Schizosaccharomyces pombe: one gene and its partners. The protein of the gene in region 3 purifies or fractionates together with the protein of the main gene of each other region. This does not show direct contact. Each region holds a gene or a part of one and is shown on either strand. Other genes may lie near its edges.

Region 1 (5,130 bases), on a different chromosome or scaffold from region 3:
TCTTAATTTCCGATAATCTCTTAACAGCGGTTCCAACGTTTGATGCACTTCCACATCATCCCATGTAAGCCGAACGTAAAATGCAGCCAGGGCACGTAAATACTTGAATTCAGGAATAGATAGGTACTGTTGAATTATTTCTTTTTCAGGTGCAATTTGTAAAAGCTTGTATAACAAACAGATAAACTCGGTGGGCCGTTGATTTCCATACTGACCACCTATATATTCAAGCCGTACTGCACGATCCACCAATGAACAAGCTAAGATGTATTAGTCAGTGAATTTGGAATAACAGTTTGAGGACTGATTAAAACAGCAAGTACCTATACTTGGTTTCTTTGCTTGCCAAATCAAGTTCATTTAGGCTATATCACTCAAAATATCGATTTGGAAAGTAATCGTACTTGAACTCTAATATGTAAAAACACTTTCCTTTTCTGTCAATGAAGAACACATACCATTCAATCCAAAACATTGTTCTTTCCAGTAAATAGAATCTACTATGCGTTCTCTCAAGATTTTTCCTATAAGGAAAGTCGGCAGCATTTCATGCGCCGCCTCACCTTGAGAGCGATAATCTCTAGCAAGAAAATCAGCCATAGTACCTCATGAAGAGAATGATTGCTCCAACCTTGATGTCTTGACTTGGAGTAAGCTTTTAAGGAGCAGTAGTGTACTGACAATATAAGTGGTCAAGTCTGAAGAAGCATGCTGAGTTTTGATTGAGAAAGGGTTATCTAAAAAAAACATGGATTCGTGAAATATGGAGGAAAAGGGAAAATGCCCGTACTCATTGCAATGAAAGAAGAAAAAGTTGATCTACTAAACAATGCACACTGTGTACACAAAGCACATGAAATTCAAGCGATTATGTTGTTTTAAGCTACTCATCGAGATTTGCCAAACGATATATATTAAATTCAAATAAACGCACGGACATATTATTTATTCATTCATTGTCATGTGGAATCGGAAATTTTTTTTTTGTAAATTTATATACCTAAGAACACATTAACCAATTAAGGAAGATGAATAAAAGGATAAAAAGAAAAATCTTAACAATATACAGTATGCTTGAAAAACACTTTACAAATCCAATCCAAAAAAATTTCTTAACTTACTTTGCCCTACTTTACTTCAAATATCTCTTATGCTTTTACAATGGTAATTTTAAAAAACAATGTCTCTATATTCAAACACGTAATTTCAAAACAGTATGAACTCTCATTAAGGGGACAAAAAAATATAATTTTAATGAAGCCCACCGTCTATTCAATCATTTCCATCTTTCAAAAACCACAAATTTAGAGAGTGTTGACAGTGTAGAAGTCCTCAAGAGCGGTAAGAACACGCTTGGTCATGGTCTTCTCACCCTCATGGATCCAGACACGAGGGTCGAACTTCTTCTTGTTGGGCTTGTCAGCTCCCTCGGGGTTACCGACGGGGGTCATAAGGTAGTCCTTGTACTTCAAGACATAGTCACGGACACCCTCGACGTAGGCGAATTGGGTATCAGTGTCAATGTTGACCTTGACGACACCGCACTTGATACCAGTACGGAACTCGTTGACAGAGGAACCGGAACCACCGTGGAAGACGAAGAAAACGGGCTTGTCGTTGGTGGTCTTGAGTTGCTCCTTAACATAGGCTTGGTGTTGACCCAAAAGAGCGGGTTGGAGCTTGACGTTACCGGGCTTGTAGACACCGTGGACGTTACCGAAAGCGGCGGCAATGGAGAAGTAAGGGGTAACGGAGGAGAGCTCACGGTAGACATCCCAGATGTCCTCGGGTTGAGTGTAGAGCTCGGTGTGGGAGACGTGAGAGTTGTCGACACCGTCTTCCTCACCACCAGTGATACCGATCTCCATCTCGATCCAGATCTTCATGGGAACGGCACGCTTGCAGTACTCCTTAACTTGAGCAATGTTCTCCTTCTTGGGCTCCTCGGACAAGTCAAGCATGTGAGAAGAGAAAAGAGGCTCACCGTGAATCTTGAAGTAGGCCTCATCGGCTTCGAACATACCGTCCATCCAGGGGAGAAGCTTCTTGGCGCAGTGGTCAGAGTGCATGACGACGGGGACACCGAAGAAAGGAGCGATGGAACGGATGTAGTGGGCAGCGGCGATGGAACCGGCAATGGAGGCCTTTTGGCCCTCGTTGGAGGATTCCTTACCAGCAAAGAAGTGAGCACCACCGTTGGAGGTTTGCAAGATGATGGGGGAACGAGCCTCACGAGCAGCCTCAAGAGCAGCAATAGCAGTGGAGGAGGAGGTGACGTTAATGGCAGGGATGGCGAATCCGTGCTCACGAGCGTAGGTGAACAACTTTAAAACGTTGTCACCTGTAATAACACCAGTAGGTACAATATCGAGAATTCCCATTTTGCTAATTTGTGTGTGTGTTCTATACGACCTTTGGAAGTATGATACTGCAACAGTAGCGCGCAACCCTCTATTATATACCATGGAGCCGGAGTTGGCCTCGGAAAAACTTCTCACCTGATGTGCATATCGATACCTATCCGGTCCGTGGTTACCACCAATCACCGTCCCCTGTTTTAGGGGTTGACGTCAAAAGAAGTTTTTGATTTCTTCCATTTACCATCCCCAATCCCCCCGATAGCGCTCTGCATCGAAGTACGCAATTCCGTTCAAGAACCGTAACACGTTGCGTGGTGTGTGTCAAGGCAAAAGGAAGCGGCGGCGGCGGTAACCAACTCGTTCACCCGATGCACAAACACAAACAAAAGAAACATTACCAACGTAAACATAAATACAAACCTAAGCATTAAACATTTATAAATACAAACATCTAACCTGCCCTATACTATTCATATGTCTATTTCATTTCTATTCATTTCTTTTCATTAATTTCATTTCATCTCCTCTTGTCTTGTCTCGTCTCGTCTCGCTTCTCCATTCTCCCAGCCATCCCTACTTCCCAGTTTGAGTGATGGATTTTTCTACTCAACCAACTTGAACCAGCCAACTAAACTAATGCATTTCTTTTGTTATCACAGTCTGGCCGTCTCGGTTCGGTTCGATGGTGTTGTGCCCACACACCCCATCTGCATCTTCGGTAGTATTCTTATTTTATAGTTGTCGCCTGGGTCAAATGATCAAGAAATGCAAGGCAATTCTTCTTCCAAGCATGCTTGAATTAGCTTTACCATCAATGTAAGAATAGACACTTTGCACCGCATTTCATCACTGTCTTTACACAAGCAGGTATGTGAAATGAAAAGTATTTTTGGACATATACAAAGTGCACAACTAAGTAGCTCTCTCACGTATTGATGATTTTCCATGCGTCCGACCGGCATTCGTTTACGGGAGTATGAATTTCGTAAGTGGTTTGATTGATTGAATGCTTTATCATTTTTTGGTTATCTAGTACCACTTGTGTTTCGCTTGGCCACGAGTAATATTAGTCCAGCAATGAGGTGAGAGAAGAGATCATCGTTTGTGTACATAACAAGAGGAAGAAACATTGATAAAAAGGAATTGAGAGAGTGGAAGAGGATGAGACTTGACTAGAAGAGTATGAGACTGCAGTCACTGTCAAGTGTTGCTATTGCTGAGACTAGGAGACAAATCATTCTTACTATTATTAACTCTCTTGTTTACTTGGTAAATTTCATTTCATGTCCATCCATTCATTCCATTCCATTCCACATCTCCACCCATCTCACATCATGTCAAGCTAATATTTCTCTGCTCAAAATCGTTGGTCTGCATTGTCCATTCCATCGTCGTGGCATTGCATCTCTGAGTGTATGTGTGGCATTGCATTGGATTGCGTTTTCATGCTCGGTCATGTGTCACTTTGCTTGGAGTTGCGCTTTGCCTTGTTTTGTCGATTCATTTTTTCCATCCAATTTCTTCCTTCGTACATACGCTTTGTTTACGTTTTCGCTGCAGCTCTGGTCAGGTAACGATTTGCAAGGCAACCATTCCTATTTAGCAACCCCGACACGATGACCGATATACCTCGTTACCTAGATGGGCTCGGTTGATGTCAGCGGCACTTGAACCCTTCGCTACGGATAACAATTGGATTACCGCAGGGAAATGGTTGGAACGGATAAACTCTTGTTGTTAGAGATAAGCAAAATCTTGACGAATATTGTTCCTCGCCTCTTTGGCAACGCAACGCATCGATATAACGATGTAGGGCAATGCACTGTAAGCGGGCTATGTGAGGTTAACGTGGGCTTGTGAAATGAAAGGGAGAGCAGAGGGAAATGGAGAGAGAGAGAGAAAGAGTAAGACTGCAGACGCTGGATAAGTAGCATAACGCAGTGTAACTTGTAACATCGTAACACATCGAGGATAACATATAGACAAAGCGTCGTCGTAACGAATATATAGAGAGAGTTAAAAGACTAGGGTATAATATGTTTACTTGCACGCTCTACTAAATAATAGGTATAGCACGTATATCCAAGTTGTAACTACAGCTATGTACAAGTACATCTCATAGCACAATATACACATATATAAACACATTATGTGGTACAGCCTGTAGACTTTTTATATTTGATAGCATGGTTTGTCGAGTTGTAGGTTTTATTTATTTATTTATTTTTTTAAGTAGACAGCATAGTTTGTGTAATTGATTTTCCATCCATTAAGTTTATTATCCTACTTTTTCGTTTGCACAGAATCTCATTCACTAATACACTCATACATACACACACTTTTTCTTACCCAATCCTTTCTATTTCATTCCTTTACTCCTAGCATTCTTTATAGAAATACATATTCCACTTCATTCACCTATTCATCCATTCATCATTCATCTATCCACTCTATCTTTCTCATTCCTTTCCATTCCTTTACTATATATGCACTACAACTTCATATTCTTATTCCCTAAACAAAACCATAGTGTTCTTCCTTTGCCTCTCTATTCTTTTCCGCTCTTGTTAGCTCTTCACTCAAGCTGACATCCCTCTTCCAGCCCTCCGTCTAACCTTTTTTTCTCCCTGCAAATTAACCTTTTTGTTTCACCATCTCACCATCTTCATCTCGCCTAAAAGGTCTCGCATTCGGTTTCGCCCAAACATAACTTACCGGAACATGCCACCTGCCATCGCTACTCTTCCTGTGGTGTACGGATGATGGTAAT
Region 2 (7,347 bases), on a different chromosome or scaffold from region 3:
TTTTTTTTAAGCAATTAAAATTTTTTACGCTATATTTATTTATTGTATTTGCTGTAAATTTATCTGAAAACGTCACAGGAGTTCCTAATGTCAATTTTTTTTCGACAAAATTATTCTGTACTTAGCCAACATGTCGTCCAAATCAGCGTCCAAACTGAAAAGAGAGGTAAGTTCCTATTAATGAATGCTGTAGAGAAAAAAGTCAAATAAATAGCTTATTTCTAATTTTTTTCGATTGCTTTTAAAATTTTTAAGCTCAATCGCTAACAAATGTTTAGGCTAAAAAAGCTGAGCGCTTAGCTGCTAAAGGCGAGAGCGTTAAGCCCTCTAAAAAGAATGGAACTAAAAATGGAAAAGATAAAGAAGTCGATGGAGTCACAAAAGATTTGTCGGAACTTTCTACTAGCGACCCTATTTTTGAAAGAAGTGCTTCTGGTGTCTTAACTAGTCAACCAATGAGTCGCGATATTAAAATTGACAGTTACACCCTTTCTTTTCACGGACGTCTGTTGATAGAGAATGCCACTATCGAACTCAACCATGGTCAACGCTATGGTCTTTTGGGTGATAACGGTTCCGGTAAAAGTACATTCTTGGAATCCGTGGCTGCTCGTGATGTGGAATATCCAGAACACATTGATAGCTACTTGTTGAACGCAGAGGCTGAACCCTCTGATGTTAATGCTGTCGACTATATTATTCAGTCAGCAAAAGACAAGGTTCAAAAATTGGAAGCCGAAATTGAAGAGTTATCAACTGCCGATGATGTTGATGATGTTCTATTAGAATCCAAGTATGAAGAGTTGGATGATATGGATCCTAGCACCTTTGAGGCAAAAGCAGCTATGATTTTGCATGGTTTGGGATTTACCCAGGAAATGATGGCCAAACCCACAAAGGACATGTCTGGTGGTTGGCGTATGCGTGTTGCACTTTCTCGTGCTCTTTTCATCAAACCCTCTTTGCTTCTTTTGGACGAACCTACCAACCATTTGGACTTAGAAGCCGTTGTTTGGTTGGAGAATTACTTAGCGAAATACGACAAAATTCTTGTTGTCACTTCCCACTCTCAAGATTTCCTCAACAACGTCTGTACCAATATTATTGATTTAACTTCTAAAAAGCAGCTTGTCTACTATGGTGGTAATTTCGACATTTATATGCGTACTAAGGAAGAAAATGAAACCAATCAGATGAAGGCTTACTTAAAACAGCAAGAGGAAATTGCTCATATTAAAAAGTTTATTGCTAGTGCTGGTACCTATGCAAACTTGGTACGCCAAGCCAAGTCGAAACAAAAGATTATCGATAAAATGGAGGCTGCCGGTTTAGTTGAGAAGCCCGAACCTCCTCGTCAATTCAGCTTTGAATTTGATGAAGTTCGCAAATTACCACCACCTATCATTGCTTTTAACGACGTTGCTTTCTCTTATGATGGTAATCTTGATCACGCTTTGTACCGTGACTTGTCCTTTGGTATCGATATGGACTCCCGTGTCGCCATTGTGGGTAAAAATGGTACCGGAAAGTCTACATTGTTGAACTTAATCACTGGGCTTTTGATTCCCATTGAAGGCAATGTCTCTCGTTACAGTGGATTGAAGATGGCTAAATACTCTCAGCACAGTGCCGATCAGCTTCCCTATGACAAGTCTCCACTTGAATACATCATGGATACTTACAAGCCTAAATTTCCCGAGAGAGAACTTCAGCAATGGCGCAGCGTTTTGGGCAAATTCGGTTTGTCTGGTCTTCACCAAACCAGTGAAATCCGTACTTTATCTGATGGCTTGAAAAGCCGTGTTGTGTTTGCAGCACTCGCTTTGGAACAACCCCACATTCTTTTACTTGATGAACCTACGAATCACTTGGATATTACCTCTATTGATGCCCTAGCCAAAGCCATTAACGTATGGACTGGTGGTGTTGTTTTGGTTTCTCACGATTTCCGTCTAATTGGTCAAGTTTCTAAAGAGTTGTGGGAAGTTAAAGACAAGAAGGTTGTGAAATTGGACTGCTCCATTGAGGAATATAAGAAGTCGATGGCCAAAGAAGTTCAATCTCGTGATACTACTGCCAAAGTTAAGCATTTGATTTAGTTAATTTATAGATTTTTGGTTAGGGAATATGTGATACATTTTGAGTAGTGGGATTAATATAAAATGTTTATTACTTATTTGAAAGTGTTTAAGAAGCGTATTGCTTTTGGTCTCATCGTTGTAATTGTCAAGCTCTATCATTGAGTGAAGCTATTAAGCCAAAATTTCATCTCTGTGTACTGTTCAAGAATTGTCGTTAAGTCCGATTTAGAGTGGAATTATCTTTTTCCACCGACTATAGGTAAACTGTACTTCTCAGCATTTATGCGTGAAACTTTATACAGCATCGGTTTTGAAAACTATGTACGCTTCTTCTCGAAAAGACTAATAATAACCCATTCTATTAAAAAATGCCAGTGAGCTCGTAATTTCTCTAGTACCTTAGAAAACGCTACACAGCAATCTCGTGAATTCACATAGTAAGCGCAAACTGTTGAGAAAAATCCAGGTTAGTAATCAATAAATAAGAAATGCAAATATTCTATATTATTAATTGTATACCAGATCGCTATGCTGTTTACACATAAAGTCGATTTGCCATAGCTTGTTAGCAAGCTGATGATACGCAAGAGTAGCCTGTCACCTCTGTAACGGTCTCAACTTACCAAAAGCAACACACGGTTAGAAAGACTTATAACTTGCTTTTTACTATATACAAAATTCCATAATTAATGTCTATAGATCCAGCAAATGATAGTAAGCTTGCTCCGGAGGCGAATGACGCTACTCTAGGAGACGTTGACAGATGGATCGAACAGTTGAAAAAATGCGAGCCTCTGAGCGAAGCTGACGTTGAAATGTTATGCGATAAGGTAAGTGAACACTAAGGAGAGTATATATGTGTATCAGGCTTGGTTGGATATATCCCAACTTTGCAAGTTCTCATTTTCTCTTGATTTCTTGAGATTGTTCAGTTTGATATGTTTGAGTTTGAACTATCCAGCTTATTTCGGTTTGATTTCTAAAAAGATTAATATTACATTAATGTCGGGTTTCTAGAAATCTCATCCTATAAATATATGGTGGTTAAAAATTACGTCGGAGACTCTCATCTATACCAGCATTTTTCGTGTTTTCGCAGTTTTTGCTAACCATTTTTTCTAGGCTCGTGAGGTTTTATGTCAGGAAAATAATGTCCAACCTGTCCGAAATCCAGTTACTGTTTGCGGTGATATTCATGGACAGTTTCATGATCTGATGGAATTATTTAAAATTGGAGGTGATGTGCCTGATATGAACTATCTTTTTATGGGTGACTATGTTGACAGAGGTTATCACAGCGTCGAAACTGTAAGTTTGCTTGTTGCAATGAAGTTACGCTACCCTAACCGAATTACGATTCTTCGAGGAAATCATGAATCTAGACAAATCACTCAAGTTTACGGATTTTATGATGAATGTTTGCGTAAATATGGATCCGCTAATGTTTGGAAACATTTCACAAATTTATTTGACTATTTCCCTTTAACTGCTTTAATTGAAGACCGTATTTTCTGCCTACATGGAGGTCTTTCCCCGAGCATTGATTCATTAGACCATGTACGGACTTTGGATCGTGTACAAGAAGTTCCCCATGAAGGTCCGATGTGTGATTTGCTTTGGTCAGACCCTGATGATAGATGTGGTTGGGGAATTTCTCCTCGTGGTGCCGGATACACCTTCGGACAAGACATTTCTGAGACATTTAATCACGCAAATGGATTAAGTTTAACGGCACGAGCCCATCAGCTAGTTATGGAAGGATTTAATTGGGCACATGATGGAGACGTAGTTACAATTTTTTCTGCCCCAAATTATTGTTATCGCTGTGGTAATCAAGCAGCTATTTTGGAAGTTGATGATACGATGAATCAAGTCTTTTTACAATTCGATCCTGCCCCACGAGAAGGCGAACCGGTAATAGCTCGAAGGACACCAGACTACTTCCTTTAAAAGTTTCAATTCTCTAATGAGTGATCAATCGATTGTGATTGTTTCAAAAAATTTATCCACCTTTCTGATTTTTGAGTTAATACTCAAGATTAAAAAGACTACTTTGTACATCCTCCGCATACGAATCTTCAGACTGTCTTTTCATTTCCAGGACTTGTCAAGTACCTTTTTTGCAAGGAAATCTTAAAATCCTTATATGTATTCCACTTCAAGCCATTGCAACCGTGTCTTATACGTACGTGAAATATTCTTGTTAATTTTGATAAGCACACTAGGATTTTTGGTTGTGGACTTATTTCTTCGAGAAATATCTGCTATTTAATATGTCGTGATAGCGATTAACGACTGCTGCATAGTTGGATGGTATTGTTTTGAGACAATATTATGAGTTAGAATTAGGCATGCTTAAGCAGTCATGTGCTGTAATGAATTAAACATCCTAAAGCTTTATGACCAAACTTTTTAAGCCAGCTTCATGATTCCATATTTGTAGAAGTTTGTCTATAAAGAACTTTTAAAGAAAAAAAATGGTTTATTTGTCTAGATATTTATTTATTATTGATACTTGTCAGATAAACCTACAATAACTACATATTTGAATTGTACAACTTTTTTATTCAAGTATAAGGGGATACTTTTGCATTTCACAAACCTTGAAGGCAAGAAGAGTACTCAAGGATTATATATATTTTTAGCGGTTTAAGAAACTACCACCAAAGGGAAAGTAAAGTTACATTAGACTACGATAAAATAAGAACCATCTGACTTGCATGAATCAGGCGTCACATACAAAATTATTGATTTACGTCTTGGAATAAGAGATTCAAGGTTGCATTAATTGAGAATGAGAAGGGGGTTTGTATCAGTAAATGACTATAACAAGAAAAAGGAAGTCTGCAATTGCCATCTTGACTGCTGTATAAGCCAAATGGACCAACAAAGGCTATGAGAAAGTGCATTGGACAAATAAAAATAAGAAGCAAGTAAGACAGCATATGACTTGATCCCCAACAGGCTAAAGAAGAAGTAAAAGAGAGGGGAGAAAAAGGAGGGAGGAAATCAGCTAGGACAAAAGTTTTTGAGCGAAATAAATTTTATCCGATGATAATTTTGCTTCCTTCAAACGTATAAGCAGGAATCGCCAAGTTAAGAGGTGCAGGACCACGGCGAATACGACCAGAGATATCATAATGAGAACCGTGACAAGGGCAGAACCATCCGCCATAGTCACCAGCTTCGCCAATGGGTACACAACCAAGATGAGTACAGACACCAATCATAACAAGCCACTCGGGTTTTTGAACACGGTCAGAGTCCGCTTGAGGATCCCTAAGAGTGCTAATATCTACAGAATTGGCTTCTTGGATTTCTTCAGGAGTACGATGACGGATAAAAACAGGCTTACCCTGCCATTTGACGACAAGGTTCTTTCCCTCTGGAATTTTCGACAAATCAACCTCGGCCTTCGACATAGCCAACACATCAGCAGATGCAGACCAACTCGCCAAGAAATCATGAACAGTAGCTTGAGCTCCAGCGGCTGTAAGAGCACCCATTGTGCCTACCATGGCATAAGATATAACACGAGAACGATCACCAGTGCTCTTTGTTTGATACTCCGAAAAGTCTGGCATTTCCGGAGAGTCAGTATATGTACGAATAGAGGTAAATTTTGGGATGGTCATCATTGAGCCCTTCAACGACGAAGCAGTGCTTGAAACGGGAAGCAACCGTCTTAACGAAGATGCTAACGACTTAGAAATAAATTGCTTGGCCAGCATTTTTACAACGTTTTAAAGAGAAACAGGTTGTTGAAATATTCGGTGGGTAGCGGTTGGGGAAGAAACGTCAAGCTGCCTCTGGTTTAAAAATGGCGGCGTTTGTGGGTGCTGTGATTTGCTAAGAAGGTTAGTTGTATTTACCGAATTCACCGATTGATGAAACTACATATCCGAAGTTCTCCGAAAAATAACGAAGTACACAATAAAAAATTAACATAATTTTACAGCTACTTTTAACGATCAGTACAGTATAGTGCTAGACTGTGCAGTACATATATCATCACGAATCGAAAATCCTATATCTTTCAAATTCCAATATTATGGTACGCTAGAGATCATTTTGTTTTATCAGATATAATTTTCCAGTCTATTTTACTAGGTTCCGTATAAGAACATAGCTGGATTTACGTTCTTCCGTCCAGCTATAAACTATTTGGAGATTATAATATTATCCAATATTTAGATGTTTACAGTAGTATCATTCATCACTTTACAAGGTACAGCACCTGCATAAAACAATACAACAGTATTAGATTGAAAATTATCGTATTCTTTCACTAGCCTTAATTATTTTAAGGAATTGGTATATATCATTAATCATAGTTCAATGTAGAAGAAATGCAATATACTTATGTATAATGTATTCATGAAGATTGGTGACATTTATTGAATATTAAGCGTATCCTTCATTAATATGCAGGAAATTTTTCTACTCTATTGAACATCATCAATTCATAAAACGTTCTATCCTCGTATTGGTGTTGCCGGCCAATATTTGATAGGTAATGCAGTAAACTTGCGAAAAATATTATCAAGTATTTTTTCTTCCTCTAAAATTTCATAAGCCGAGTAATGGAACTGGTTTTGATATATTTCGATATCTTTCAATTCTTTTAATGAGATTGGTGTTTTTGGGTTGGTTTCTGGTTTGGAAGAAACCATTCTCTCCTTGTCCAGTGCTTTTTGTCTTAATTCTTTTTCTTTTAACAATTGCTCCTTCTCCTTTTTCCACATTAACTCCCTTTTTTCCGATTCACGGAACCAAAGAATTTGCTCATCTGTTAACGTTCGTATAGTCCCATCAGGATAGCGCTCTACACTTTGTGTATACTCAACGTTTGCACTTTCTGAATTTCCCCCACGATCGTTTTGCGCGAAAGCAACATTCCATAGGTTTACTGCTTTTGCATTAAAATGCTCATCATGGAATTTCTGTAAGTCTCCTTCTGTAATTTCAGAACTCATTAAAAGTTCCGTGGTTTTACACAATATTGGATTCAGTAAGGATTACTTTGCTAGTTGTAACAAGTTGCGATGAAATCAATTTGATGAACGAGCAAAGCTACGCTAGAACATTTAATGAATCACCCAAATTAAAATACTGTATCGTAGTGAATTTGATAACCCAATTAAAGCAAAACAAGGTAATACGTTAGGATTATACTAACAACGCAAACTTACAAGATGAGTAGTTTCTTTAAGAATTTAGCGATCCTTAATATTTGATGTACTTTATGGAATGGCCGTAAGTATAT
Region 3 (6,424 bases):
CGTTGGCTTTCCGGTAGATTAGTCTTTTGAGGTTAACAAGTTAATGATATCTGATATTCTGATGTGATTATTGAATTTATGAAGTGCATCAGTACTGTATTTCTCGTGTTCCGGTGACTCTCGTATTTTGTATTGCACTAGAAATAGTGAAATCGCCAGCCATTTCATAATTTATCAAGTAGCTCGACATTAGTATGACTATTCATATTCTGTATACGAATGATGTTCTAAATTAAAATCTGGCAAAGTAAATGACAATTCTGTTCATATAAGCTGGTTTACATAGCTCTACGTTCTTTAGTAAATTACTAAACAGATCGCTATACAGTAAACATTATCATGGCAACGGTTGCTATGGGGCTTATAGGTGCGTGTACACAGATTACAGTCGACTTAGTACACTTACCTTCATCCTAACAATCCATTTAGAATAGTCAAACATGTCGACAGACGATTCACCTTATAAACAAGGTAATAACTACTTTTTGAAATCATTTCAAAATGTTTATTAACGAAAAGATAGCTTTTTCTTTATTTGACCGCCATGGAACTGGTCGCATCCCCAAAACGTCCATTGGTGATCTTTTAAGAGCGTGTGGACAAAATCCTACGCTGGCTGAGATTACTGAAATTGAATCTACTTTGCCCGCAGAAGGTATGATTTCTTGTTATGGGTTTGGAGAGTTATACTCCTTAGCCGTGCATTAAGTGACAATACTAATTGGTAGTCGATATGGAACAATTCCTTCAAGTGTTAAATCGTCCCAATGGGTTTGATATGCCTGGTGACCCAGAGGAATTCGTGAAGGGCTTCCAGGTGTTTGATAAAGATGCCACTGGCATGATTGGAGTGGGTGAATTGCGCTATGGTATGTATTTATAGAGATCTATCCTTTTTTCAGATTGATAAAAAAATGCGAAACTAATTGTATCAGTTTTAACTTCTTTGGGTGAAAAACTCAGCAACGAAGAAATGGACGAGTTATTAAAGGGTGTTCCCGTAAAAGATGGCATGGTTAATTATCACGGTATGCTCTATTACTACTCTGGGCTTCGGCAATCAACTACCTATACTTAATTATACTAACTGCTTCCTTTAGATTTCGTTCAAATGATTCTTGCCAATTAATTAAATCTACATAGTTTGCATAATTTACCCGGCATATGTTTCTCCTTTATTATTTACACCTTTATTTCAATTTTATGTCTTCAATAGTTTACTTTCGTTCAGCTTTTCCATCTGATACACTTGGGACTATGAAGCAATATGTTCCTGAATACAGATAACTGGACTTTTCGATACTCGCAGGAATTTCTACACATATCGTTTAGCATACGGAAATAGAGATATCCTTCTATATTCGTATATTTATGAATATGATTAACAACCATTTGTTATCTCATGCAAATGACCTTATATCTCAGCTGCTTAAATTGTTTGAATCTCTCCAGATGTAAATATAAGTTTTCATTCAAAATTACACTTTTCGTAAGTAATTACGGTTGATGCCAGCTTTCTTGATGCATTCGGCTCCAATTTTGCCATATCGTGTATATCTTGTATATCTAATTTACTGTGTGTCAATACGATGCTTTGAATTAGATGTAGGGCTTGACACTTGATGTCGAACGAATGGCCAGAGTCAAGACAGTCCATTCTTTTGCATTTTTACATAGTGAACACAAATCATAAAGGTAAAACTTTTGGCTCATTTAGACATGCAATCATATAACCCAACAATTAGTCATTTGTTTGCTCTAAGGCCTGAGTAGCAAAATATTGAACATCAGGGTCATTATCTTTTGTAAGTTGTTCGAGCAATGGGATGATTTGCTGTTCATATACGGTCGAGTCACCACCAGCTGCCAAAACAGGCTTAAGAACTTCAAACGCCTTGGCAACGTTAAAGCGAATATTAGGAATAGGGTCATTAACCAACTGTTCCAAAGTTGGAAGAATTTGTTTTTCAATTACTTCAGCATTCAATGCAGGTGCGATTTCCTAAAATACGTTAGAACTGGAAAAAAGCAAAAAAGAAAAACTTACACTGATCGCAAAAATAGTTGTCATTCGGTATAAATAATTTGGATGGCTTCGCATAGCCAAAAACTTTGGAATAATTGTCTCAGTTGCCCATTCCAACCCAAAAATTTCCGTAAGTTTTCGCAAATTCTTTATCGCAGCTTCACGAATAGAATATACATGGTCCTCTAACCATGACATACATAAATTGCCCATTTTCTCATTAAAAAATTCGACCCCAAGCTGCTGAGCAAGTAGTGGAATGTAGTCAATGATAGCAAGACGAACACGCCATTGTTTATCTTCAGCAAGTGTAACAATTGCAGGCAATAAAGATTGTGAAAGTAATTCGATACCAACGACTAAAGTGAGTTAGTATAACTGTAGCAATAGCTATATTTTGAATTTGCAATTTACCTTTGTTTACAACTTCCAATTTCGAAATAATGTTAAGACGAACTTCAGGGTTTTCATCTTTAAGTAATTCCAAAAACATTGGTAAAAGATACTCTGTAGTCCTAAATATAACGATTAGTAAAATGAGGTTTTTAAAAGAAAAGTTATTTTTAGCAGACATACTTTTCCTTTCCTAATTGTGGGGCGAGAGCACCTATGTTCATCCCTAAAGCAGCACGGACATGTTGAGCGGGATCATTAATTAACTCTTGAATAACTGGAATAATCTCTTCAAGAACAATTCGCTTATCCAACAATTCGCAAAATCCTGGTATTTGAGTAGCAATAGCACGGCGGACTTCCTGCTCGGTATCCTTCATGAGCAGTACGAATGGTTTAATAAGTTCATCTTTAATAAGAGATGGTCCAACTACTTTAGCAAGTTTTACAAAATTAGCAGCAACCATATAACGTGTTCTCCAGCTGCTATCCGAAACAAAAGACCTTAATGGTTGAAGCAAATAGTGACGAATTTCCGAGTCAGATTTTAATACCTCCGCCAAAGAAACCATAATGTCGAAAGAAAGGAGCCGAACTGAGTCTTGGTCATCATTAGAAAGGGAGTTGAACAATGGAATGAATTCGTCAATAGCCTCCTGTTTAGTTACCAAAAAAACAAACTTGGCACAGTTCGTTGCTGCAGGACGACGGACCATGGGAGCTTCGTCGTGACATAGATGACTAAAACTTTGACGAAGAGAGACTTTGACAGCAGGATTTTCTGACTGAGAATATGCCGCGCAGTAAAGCCCAGCAGAGGACGCACGAGAGGTAAACCACTCAGCGGTTGAAAGACGTTGAACCAATGGAACAAAATATTGCTCTAATTGTTCTTGGGATAGGCAAATACATACTTTATTGAGAGAGTCAACGGCTTTATCGCGGACTACCGTTTCTTCAGTTGCAGCAAGATTTTCAAGGGGAGACAAAAGGACATGCGCATACTCAGGGCCTCCAACATAATCTACAAAATTTCCTAACTGGTCGGCGAGAGCTGATAGGACTTCGTCCTCATCGTCAATCGATTCTGTATTCAAGGAATGTTAGCCGACAAACATACATCGTTTATTAAAAAATATAAAGAATTTTAAAAATTTAAACCTATAGTTCCATAATTTTATTATTGAATGCATACCATCTAAAAAGGGAATCAACTCATCCCTTGTACGTTCAGGACCTAAAGCGAGAGCAATTGTCGATAACCGTTCCAAAGCATTGAGCCTATAAGTAATTTCATCATGCTTTAACAATAGTCAGAGTTGAACATATCAGACGTAAAACAATTTGTTACCAACCTTTAACTCATCAATCAAAACAGCAATCGGATACAAATCGTTCACTTGCTATAAATAGTCGTGGTTAATAAATTGTAAAAGAGACATTTTGTAACACACATTCTCTGTTTGCATTTTATATAATAGAACAACTCGTTCTTAGCAAACAAGCAAATAAAGTGGGTAGGAAGTTTTAAACTTTTCGAGGTGAAGAAGGAGTGTGTGTTACAGCGGACGCTACCAAATTGAAACAGTTTTCCAAGCAAGTATCTCAAAGGTTTTCCTTAACATGAATCATTTTGAATAATTCTAAAAAACTATTTTGTGTTTATAATATACTCTGCTTTTCAGAGTTTTGACTGAACATAAATTCCACTTAAATGTTTACATACTGAATTGTCTAGCATCACGAATTCTTTTTATGTCTTCTCTCTTTATTCCTGACCTAATTTAATCTTTGTTTTTGAGAAGTATTGTTTAAGGGATATGGTTTGGAATCACATTTCTACCAATGCTAAAGCTTTTATATGACATCAAACGATTTTGCATGAGTATGTTAATTGATTATTTTTTTGGAAATTTGTATGATAATAAAGGATTCAATTGCCATATTGATGTATCGCAACTGGCTGAATGGTATATTACACAGTCATATTTATTTCAAACTATGAAATTACCCAAAAAACAAAACATAATTAAGTGATTATAGCCATTAAAAAGCTTTTTCCAAACTTCGCATGTTTCAAACCGAAAACTTTCGCTATATTTAATGCAAGAAGATAATTCGGATTTATTAATATTGGAGCTATTGTCGAAATGTTAAGCAAAACTGCTATACACACTTAGTGAGAAAAATTTGATCATTTTTCATTTGTTTACGATACCTTACATAACTGGGGTTTCATTATATTGCAAGTTTATTTCGTCTACCTCAGGATGAATGTGTTGGATTCTCAAATTGAGGTCCTTCAGTTTGGTTCAACAGTTTTTTTTCATTAATACTTCGTTTTTAAGATGGTCGTATAATTAATTATTGACTGCCGCAATCGATTCGTTTGTTTTAATGTTTAACAAAATATTGTTACTTCAAATTTTCTAACAAGTACCTCGATTGTGTAATATAACTACCAAACTAAAATATTTAATACAATGTGCTAGTTATGTTTGGTGACTATAGCAATATCACTTAAAATGGGTGATATATCTTCATAACGAAGTTTGGTGTTTTCAGAGATGACCGATCAGTTTAGGTAGTGTTTACAATAAATTACAGGTATTTTTTTTTTCTTCAACGCACTTTAATTTGAGTGAACAATCCTCTACTCGCACCATAATACTTCGCTTATCATAGAGCATATAGTTTATAGAATGAATATCAAAAATTTATCATTGAATATAATGCAAAAAATTCTTTGAGCATCGCCACTGATTATCTGTTTTACAATACTAACATGTGATGTTTTCACAAGTGAAAATAACGAGCACCTTATATCACGTTATTTATTAAGTCAATAAATTGTCCATTATACCAATCTTTCGTCAGTAAATCTTTTTGGGTGAAATATTTTGAGGGAAGACTGGCTAAAAGGCTTTTTAGCATATTTATTTTTCAAAAAAAAATTAAAAGCAAATGATTGATTTTCTGATATGACTGCAATATGTACTGACAAAACCGAGTTAAATGCTTCCTGGAATACAGTCTCTTCAGCTTGGCTCACTAGATATCCAAAGTACGTCGATCATAAACTATGAGGTTCATTTTTATTGTGTTAATGTTCTTTTATTAACAATAGTTAGTCCGTATAGTCTTCACGTAGTCTCAGCTGATGTACTCGAGCGATATGTGGATGATGAAGGTCGACTATATACCGAAAGATTACTTGTTAAACAGGGAAGACTGCCCAGATGGGCATCGGATCTTTTGAATGTTAACAAGTCTTACATACTCGAAAGATCTGTCATTGATCCCTCAAAGCAGGAATTAAAATCCGAAACGTTCAATTTGGATCATGTGAAAATTCTCCGCGTAATAGAGTACAGTCGATTTATCCAAAGCTCAGAAAACTGCTCAAAAACTATAGTAGACACGATTGCCAAGTTTGTCTCACCCTTAAGATTTGGTCTTGGTCGTAGGGTTCAAAAGTACAGTCTAAAACGATTTCAAGAACAGCTATCGAGCTCTCGTCGCGGGCTTTTATATGTAATCCAACAAAAGTTTCAACCTTCTTAAATTGTTACTTATATAATAAAACTCAAAGGGTTCGCAAAAGAAAAAAAAGGAAACGTTAATCATTTACAAATTTCTCATACAACGATAACGTGTTGTACAAATTAAAAAGCACCATTTTATTACATATTGATTAAATGCGTTAATAATTTTTTGGAATAAATTCTTTTTTCCTCTAAAAACAATGAAGCAAATTTTGTTGGTAATTCTATGTATCACAGCTCATACGAGTAATCGTTGTTGGAGAAGTTGAGTCATTCCACGTACTAATCCTTCCAACCCTTCTTGCTTCTTTGCACTGACCGGCAAAACAGCTACCCCTTTCGTAGTTCTTTCAACAATAGCCTTAAGCAAAAGTAGGTCTTGCTCAGCTGCTGTATCGGCTTTATTAGCGATTACGAGAGCTACCTTATTAATTAAATTTTTTTCGTACTTATTCAGCTC

Evidence for each region.
Region 1: the proteins of paa1 (region 3) and fba1 purify together in Schizosaccharomyces pombe (affinity purification with mass spectrometry, with the first as the bait; 3 studies listed by BioGRID). This does not show direct contact.
Region 2: the proteins of paa1 (region 3) and ppa2 purify together in Schizosaccharomyces pombe (affinity purification with mass spectrometry, with the first as the bait; 3 studies listed by BioGRID). This does not show direct contact.

Annotation. Positions count from the first base shown.
Region 1 is NC_003423.3:1,685,618-1,690,747, reverse strand, and holds fba1 (fructose-bisphosphate aldolase Fba1), read right to left. Parts: upstream 2,428-5,130; 5' UTR 2,382-2,427; coding exon 1,305-2,381; 3' UTR 1,149-1,304; downstream 1-1,148. Other genes in the region: U4/U5/U6 small nuclear ribonucleoprotein complex subunit PRP38, read right to left, coding at 1-260, 459-600; protein mug124, read left to right, coding at 3,543-3,980. UniProt on the Schizosaccharomyces pombe protein: Catalyzes the aldol condensation of dihydroxyacetone phosphate (DHAP or glycerone-phosphate) with glyceraldehyde 3-phosphate (G3P) to form fructose 1,6-bisphosphate (FBP) in gluconeogenesis and the reverse reaction in glycolysis.
Region 2 is NC_003423.3:2,284,247-2,291,593, forward strand, and holds ppa2 (serine/threonine protein phosphatase PP2A catalytic subunit Ppa2), read left to right. Parts: upstream 1-2,705; 5' UTR 2,706-2,770; coding exon 2,771-2,911; exon of another isoform or gene 2,912-3,072; intron 3,073-3,203; coding exon 3,204-4,031; 3' UTR 4,032-5,125; coding exon of another isoform or gene 5,126-5,812; 3' UTR 5,813-6,199; downstream 6,200-7,347. Other genes in the region: SPOM_SPBC16H5.08C (ATP-binding cassette sub-family F protein), read left to right, coding at 131-166, 279-2,099; Rieske iron-sulfur protein, ubiquinol-cytochrome-c reductase complex subunit 5, Rip1, read right to left, coding at 5,126-5,812; protein gem8, read right to left, coding at 6,557-7,057; cyclophilin family peptidyl-prolyl cis-trans isomerase Cyp7, read left to right, coding at 7,332-7,337. UniProt on the Schizosaccharomyces pombe protein: Essential role in cell cycle control. PP2A may be involved in controlling the entry into mitosis, possibly acting as an inhibitor.
Region 3 is NC_003424.3:5,328,778-5,335,201, forward strand, and holds paa1 (serine/threonine protein phosphatase PP2A scaffold subunit Paa1), read right to left. Parts: upstream 3,963-6,424; 5' UTR 3,889-3,962; coding exon 3,874-3,888; exon of another isoform or gene 3,823-3,873; coding exon 3,775-3,822; exon of another isoform or gene 3,721-3,774; coding exon 3,615-3,720; exon of another isoform or gene 3,603-3,614; intron 3,507-3,602; coding exon 2,603-3,506; exon of another isoform or gene 2,542-2,602; coding exon 2,441-2,541; intron 2,386-2,440; coding exon 2,048-2,385; exon of another isoform or gene 2,003-2,047; coding exon 1,742-2,002; 3' UTR 1,319-1,741; downstream 1-1,318. Other genes in the region: myosin II light chain cdc4, read left to right, coding at 441-471, 524-655, 729-869, 936-1,028, 1,101-1,129; phosphatidic acid transfer protein Ups1, read left to right, coding at 5,401-5,483, 5,551-5,983; GTPase Mtg2, read right to left, coding at 6,203-6,424. UniProt on the Schizosaccharomyces pombe protein: Phosphatase 2A affects a variety of biological processes in the cell such as transcription, cell cycle progression and cellular morphogenesis, and provides an initial identification of critical substrates for this phosphatase.